Bombyx mori: one gene and its partner. The protein of the gene in region 1 purifies or fractionates together with the protein of each later gene. This does not show direct contact. Links are inferred from orthologs where the notes say so. Each region holds a gene or a part of one and is shown in the gene's direction. Other genes may lie near its edges. The genes, in order: exportin-6 and zinc finger matrin-type protein 2.

What was found.
Region 2: the proteins of exportin-6 (region 1) and zinc finger matrin-type protein 2 purify together in Homo sapiens (co-immunoprecipitation; 3 studies listed by BioGRID and IntAct, with this or other methods). This does not show direct contact. The link is inferred for Bombyx mori from reciprocal best matches to the Homo sapiens genes XPO6 and ZMAT2.

The regions. Positions count from the first base shown.
Region 1 is NC_085114.1:10,453,258-10,457,090, reverse strand, and holds part of exportin-6, read left to right. Parts: exon of another isoform or gene 1-163; intron 164-254; exon of another isoform or gene 255-375; intron 376-831; exon of another isoform or gene 832-2,483; intron 2,484-2,664; coding exon 2,665-2,841; intron 2,842-3,292; coding exon 3,293-3,485; intron 3,486-3,833. UniProt on the Homo sapiens protein: Mediates the nuclear export of actin and profilin-actin complexes in somatic cells.
Region 2 is NC_085128.1:9,737,999-9,741,667, reverse strand, and holds zinc finger matrin-type protein 2, read left to right. Parts: upstream 1-1,745; 5' UTR 1,746-1,948; coding exon 1,949-2,063; intron 2,064-2,150; coding exon 2,151-2,392; intron 2,393-2,843; coding exon 2,844-3,083; 3' UTR 3,084-3,134; downstream 3,135-3,669. UniProt on the Homo sapiens protein: Involved in pre-mRNA splicing as a component of the spliceosome.

The DNA.
Region 1 (3,833 bases):
TAATACTATAACTATAAGAACTAAACAACCTATTTTAAAACAAAATTGGCATCAATTTAGTTCTTATGAACTATTTCAATTATTAATTTATCAATTATAAACATATTTAAAAAAAATTAAGATCCCTTGAGAGTTCACATTCCTTGCTGAATCAGTTTCTCTTCTGAAACGGAGAAACAAAGTATCTTAAGTATGTAACAAATATTGAAAAAATACGACCATGAAAAATTTAGTGTTAATGTAATCTTACTTACAAATTAATATATTACATAACACGTTCTGGTTCAAATATAGTGCATCAATCTTTTCATGTTTCAGACATTTTAGTGCTCCTTATAATTTTTCCATAAAATTTTGTCATTATCAAACCTTTGTCTACAAAAATAAAAACATTATTTTATATTGGGTAGAAGGATGAACGTGGTCACAGGCCACTTGGTGTAACTTAGTTATCAAACACCAGGAAACAAAACGTGAATGCCATCATCTAACTTTGGATGTGAGATCAATTGTGCTGTATTTTATTTAAACAGGAAAGCATGACTGATTGATCATTCCAAAAAACTAGTTCGGGCCCACTTGACAATAAGCATATAATACGCTGAGTTGCAAAACATAAATACTTCCACCCACTCGAGACAATTTTATTATCTGAGGTGTGTGTGTGATAGTACGAGACTTAATACCGACTGTTTTGATCAAAACTTAACATATATGATAGCTAGGCAGCAGAAATAGGAAGGACCATTAGTTGGTGCTAATTCATTTAATTATATTATGAATAATAATTCTGTTAGCAAATAATATACCGGGAAAATAGTGTAAACTCACCGTTATCAAGGCATCCGAAATAGCATTTCATTTTCGATCTTCGAGGCATGCTGATTTTTAATAATAAACATTCTGTAAGAAATGAAAATAGTTACACAGGCTTACGAAACGCTAACGAAGAAAAAAGTATTGGAGCCAAGTTATGTCTAAAGAGAATTCAAAACAGAGTTTCTCAATGTCTAATCGTCTAATATTCTCATAAAGCTAAAAGTTGCTCTAAATTAATACTACAACGTAAAATAACTCACACCAAGACCAAAAAAAAACGATTTAAAAAATTAAATCGTTACGACATTTTGAAAACTTTTTTTTTTTTTGAGATTGTTTTACGGCCCTGGAATTTTGAAAACTTCAAAGCAGTGTTTCCACTTACGTTTTTTTTAACACATTTTACCCTAGTTTCTTTTGAATTTACCCTAAAATTTCCTAGACAACTTTCATAAATCCTTTATATAGAAAGCGTAAATAAAATACAGAAAATAAACCACAGCATATTATTTAATGTAGGTATATATAATATAAACGCCCCCAGAAGAACATAGATCTATAGGATTAGAATTTTCAAGGAAGTCGACGCATTGCTTTTATATTCTTTTGCTGCACAACCTAACACTGTTCGGTTCTAAAATTGAGCAATTGTTTGCTGGCAAAGTTGGGAACTTTCTATGAAGCAAGCCGTTCAGGGTTTCATTAGAAAGCCTGTTTCTTTTGTCAGTTTTTAAATTTGAGAACACTGAATAATCTTTCCACCTCAGTCTTTGAAGAAGGAACTGCTAGCAAAAGTGAAATGACAATTACAAGGTTTTCGTAAATGAAATTACCATGATAATCTTTCATGGTACATGAAGTACCTGTATATTACAATACAAGTAAGTTCTGGTGACATCAACGAAAATAGGTAAATAAAAATTTGGCGGATTATACTTATTGGGATTCTGGGGAATCCCTAAGAAAAAGCAGTGGCTTAATCTATGATTTACTTTACTAGAGGGTTACTGTTGAATCAAACCTTTATAGTTTTTATACACAACTCTGTTTTATTCTTTTACTTGTCAACTCGACTTAATGTCATTCTCTCTCCATAAAATAAAATGTTCATTGTTTTACTTTAATTATCGTTTATTTTAAAATTCACAACAGTTACTAGTATAGGCTTTGCTTTTTACCCCGAAATATCCTAAATCCTGGTATTTTTTAAATTGTCTTTATCATCCAAAATATCAGCTATTTTTCCCTAAAAAAGGGAGAATTCCCTAAAAGTGGAAGCACTGCTTCAAAGTACGCTACATTTTTTATTGAGTCAGAACTCATATCTGCCATCTAGTGAGTTTATTAGATCATTAATGCCTAAAAGTTACAAAAATGACGTCGCCACAGGAGTAAGATGACGCTAGTTGTATGTTATTTTCCTTTGTATGGGAGTTGCACCCCCCTGTATACAAGTTCCGAACAACAATATTCGGACCGTCGGTCCACCGAACAATTACCTGCTCGGTTGAAGATCTTCCCTTTCGTCGTTATTCCTACAATGATATATGAGGACGTCAACGCAAAAGGGGCCTAAGCTTACCATAGTTAGTATGGAAATAATGAGGTTTCGCATTTACCTTTACAATAATACTTCGTATGAAAAAAAGTGTGTGTGTGTGCAAGTCACACACGGTAGAAGTGAAACTTATAAATAAGATATAGATATACTGACTATCCCACTACATAACACTATTACAATATATTATACTAACACAGTGGAGATAAAAAGGCCGCGGCTCAGCTTTGTGATATTAGGTTGGTTCGGTCGGTAGTAGTAAGGTTGTTGTGGTTGTGCGCTTGCAGGGGCGGCACGGAGGGCAGCCTGGAGCGGCTGGTGCAGTGCGTGCGGCTGGGCGTGGAGGCGGGCGGCGGCGGCGTGCGCGTGGACGTGGTGCTCGAGCTGCTGCACCGCCACGTGCTGCCGCGCGCCTCGCACCTGGCGCCGGACCTCGCGCGGGCCGCGCACGCGCTGCTAGCCAGGTGGGGGCAACAACACACTGCTGGTAGGGCCTCTTGTGAGTCCGCGCGGGTAGGTACCACCACCTTGCCTATTTCTGCCGTGAAGCAGTAATGCGTTTCGGTTTGAAGGGTAGGGCAGCCGTTGTAACTACATATACTTGAAACCTTAGAACTTATATCTCAAGATGGGTGGCGCATTTACGTTGTAGATGTCTATGGGCGCCAGTAACCACTTAAAACTAGGTGGGCTGTGAGCTCGTCTACTCATCTAAGCAATAAAAAATATACATATATATAGATGCGTGAACGTTTAAAATTAAAAAATAAATAAAAAAAAACGTTAATTTTAATTGAAACTTTCACGATCTCGTAAATGCGGTATAAATGTATTTTTAAAAATGTATTTTTTTTATAGGGACAGAGAAAGCGACTTTCTTTTGTACTATGTAGTGATGGATAGGTTTTGTTGTAGCGTATTAATTCATCGGTGGCGATACTTCTTCCCGCACAAGTGCGACACGGCGGAGGGGGGGCGGCGCGCGGACGAGTTCCGCGGCGCGCTGTCTGCGCTCGGGCGCGCCCTGCTGCTGCCCGACATAGAGCTGCTCAAGCTCAACATTGCGACGCTCGAGACGCTCAACAGCAAGTGGAAACTCTATCATAAAGTGAGTTTACGTATTGTACTACATAGATATTTTTTTTATTGCCCTTGTAGGCAGACGAGCATACGGCACACCTGATGGTGAGTGGTTACCGTCGCCCATGGAATTCATCAGCAATGCCAGGGGCAGAGCCAAGCCTGCCTACCGCAATGGATGGACCGGCTCATGTGTTCGCCTTGAGACATGAGTAACGTGACCTTTTTTTTTTTTCGTGTCAAAGCGGGACGCCTACCGAATTTCGTATATAAATAAATACATATATAGGATACGTCGGGGTAAGATGTAATATGTAAGTGCAAAAAAAAATTTTTTTTAAATGACTTGAAATAATTCATTATGGTATCTTATCCG
Region 2 (3,669 bases), on another chromosome or scaffold:
GTCCCGTGGCCAGGCTGTTAGTCTACCCTACTTAGCGGTAGGCAGCGTCTTGACTCTGCCTCTGGCATAGCTGAAGTCCATAGGCGACGGTAACCACTCAGGTAGGCCATATGCTCGTCTGCCCACAAAGGCAATACAAAAGAAATAAATAAAAAAACAGTCACTGGAAGTGGCTTTTCGGGTTCTTCCAAAAAGTCCACTAAAGTTTCTGTAAATAACCACCATTTTACTAAAACGTTATATCATCCCATCTCATCTCATTTCACCCCAATCGATTACAGCCTCAAATAAATCATCTTCAACTCTTTTTATATCTATATCATTTTTATAATAGTATGGGGAAAAGTCTTTTCTCATTATAGTAGGTAGGTATGTATGAACTTGTAATAAAATCTCTTTGGTTATACTATTTGTATCTGGCTGGTTTTGGAATAATTAAAGGTTTAAAATTTTAAAAAAGACAATTCCAAATTCAAATTAAGAAAATGTGTGATTTTTATTTGTTTTTCGTACTGTCAAGATTAGGGAATCTAATGAAGAAAATCGATACATTTAAAAAGTTTACTACAAAAAAGGTAAAAATGCAACGTAGGCCGCGAAAAAAAATTGCGATGTTTATGGACCTAGTGCTGTGTCTGTGAAAGTAGCACAAAATTGGTTTAAGCGTTTTCAATACGAAATTTTTATTTTAAGAATTTGTACGTCGCTCTAATCGAATCTTTTTGAAAAAGTGAAAGTGACTGATCGCATCTTTTTGAAAAAGTAAAGCAAGATCGGCATATCAGTAGTTACGACGTAGCTGAAGAACTGGGAATTGACTACAAAACAGCTTTGGCTCATTTGAAAAAAAATAGATACACAAAAAAGTTCGATATTTGGGTACCTCACGAGCTCACTGAAAGAAACCTAATGAACCGTGTACTCATTTGTGATTCTTTATTACGACGTAATGAAACCGAACCATGTTTGAAGAAGCTGATAACTGGTGATGAAAAGTGGATCACGCACGACAAGAACGTACGAAAAAAGTCGTGGTCAAAGGTCCGTCAGGCTTCACAGACTGTGGCAAAACCTGGGTTAACTTGCAACAAGGTGATGCTGTTTGTGTAGTGGAATTGGAAGGACATTATTCATTATGAGCTGTTACCACCAGGCAAGACCATTGATTCTGAACTCTACTGCGAACAACTGATGAGATTAAAGGAAGAAGTTGAGAGAAAGTGGCCAGAATTAATCAACAGAAGGAGTGTGGCTTTTCATCATGATAACAATGTGACCTTACACATCTTTAGCCATTCAGCAAAAATTAAGAGAGCTTGACTGGAAGATGTTAATGCATCCGCTGTTTATCCGTATATCCGTCCTGACCTTGCACCTTCAGGTTTCCACCTGTTTCGGTTCTTCAGAATTCTTTAGGCAGTGTCAGATTAACATCACGAGAGGACTGCCAAAACCAATTGTCTCGGTATTTTGATCAGAAGCCCCAAATTTTTTATAGCAATGGGATCATGTCCCTATTTACAAAATGGCAAAAAGCTATCGAACAAAATGATACCTACATACTTAAGTTAAATGTAAATAAACTATTAAAAAAATTTGTTAATTTTCTTAAAAAATGCGAAGAAACTTTTTCCCCAACCTATTATATTAATTTTCATGTAACTGAATATATAAAAGATTAGGCTGTATAATATATATATGCTTTCGCCTTTCTTGTTAGAAAATGGAAATACTACAACTAATCATTTGTCAGTTTTGTCACTGCTAGTTGTCAATTAGAAACATTTCGTTTGTGTTGTTAAGGATGATTTTCTCGTGTTATTTTTTTAATAGATCTAATTGATTACTCTTCCCTCTGGGTACACGTTTAATATAAAACAAACAAGTGGAGTGTGTAAGAAAATCATAACTTGTAATTGTTGTGAAATAAATACTATAAAATTTAAACATGAGTATGCGCCCCGATGACCACCGAAGAAAATGGGACAAAGAGGAATTCGAGAAAATTGCAGCCGAGCGTTTGAAAGCAGAGCTAGAAGAAGAAGAAAAATCCAAGAAGAAAGGTAAAATATTTGTGTCAACACACTTTGTTACGTTAAAATACAAATTTGACACAATATATAAATGTTTGTTTAATTTTCATTTTCCAGCCACTCCAGTCAAACGTGAACTTCTCAAACAACGTGAATATAAAGTAGATTTGGACTCGAGACTCGGGAAGAGTGTAGTAATCAATAAGAATACGCCAACGTCCCAATCTGGAGGATATTATTGTAATGTTTGTGACTGTGTTGTTAAAGATTCAATAAATTTCCTTGATCACATCAATGGTAAAAAACATCAGAGGAATCTGGGAATGTCCATGAAAATAGAAAGGAGCAGCTTAGATCAGGTGAGCTTACTTTTTCACATGTATGTATATGCATAGTACCAAGCAGGTAAATAGGATTGTTGACTTGCTACTAGATTTATGGTCTGAGATCATCAATTGGCCACTGTTGCATCAAAATAATAACAAACATCATGAACCAACGCTATTATTTTTGTGATTGCCTGAGTTGAGCAAACCTACCATCCCACTCAACTAGAGCACTCAATATTAAAATAATTCTCAACAAATTCTTTCAATCTTAATTTTATCAAGTTCTAATGCTATTGTTAAGGAATAATAAATGTAAAATGTTCAACCAAATAGATGATTTAAATTTCTAGACCACTAATTTGAAATAATCTATCTAACTCATCTAGCTGTTCTCAATTTTATAAATACCATTCAGGTTTTAATAATATTTATTCTATTCTATCATAGCTACTACTACTACATTATATTTGTTTGGTTCCAGGTAAAAGCAAGATTTGCACTCAATAAACGAAAGTTGGAAGAGAAAAAGCGTGAATATGAATTAGACACAAGATTAAAGGAAGCCGCTGAAGAAGAAGCTCGTGTGAAAGAGCTACGTAGGGAGAGACGTCGGGACAAGAAACGGAAGTTAATGGAGAATGATGAAATAGATGATACACCAGCACCTTCTGAATTAGCACAAATTATGGGGTTTTCTGGCTTTGGAGGATCTAAAAAATGATATGTTTTAAAATGTAAAGCTTATATTAATAAATACTGTGTGGTACAATAATGTTTCATTGAATGTTTTAATTATTATTTGGCTAATAATTCTATTTGCCCTGACCTTGTTTTATCAAGGTATAATTATGAACTTTGATTTAGCAGACAGGATAATATTACCATATTTATTTGGAAAAGGCTAGAAAAAACGACACCATGTAAATGTAACATGTTCCAAATGCTTTTTCCAATTAAAAAATATAAATTATAAGGCTACAATGTCCACTACCGGACTTGGTATGAGGGCATGTTTTTCATGTGCTAGATGAAAGCTTTTCACTGACTCCAGTAGTCCTGTATATGTCAAAACTCACATCAACTTTAGTTTTTGGGATTTGGGATTTTGGGATATGTAAATCGCACGTGACTACTTTGACTGACTGACTTTTCGAGGACAATAAACAATTCAACAACAAAATCAGTTGGCTGGGCGTTAAAAGAGCGCTCATCTCTCTACTCTAAGTCGTTTCTGTTGAGTCTGGGCTAAGATAACGATCTCGCCCAAATCTATAAATTAAAATAAGACATGACTTAAAGGTCTTAGT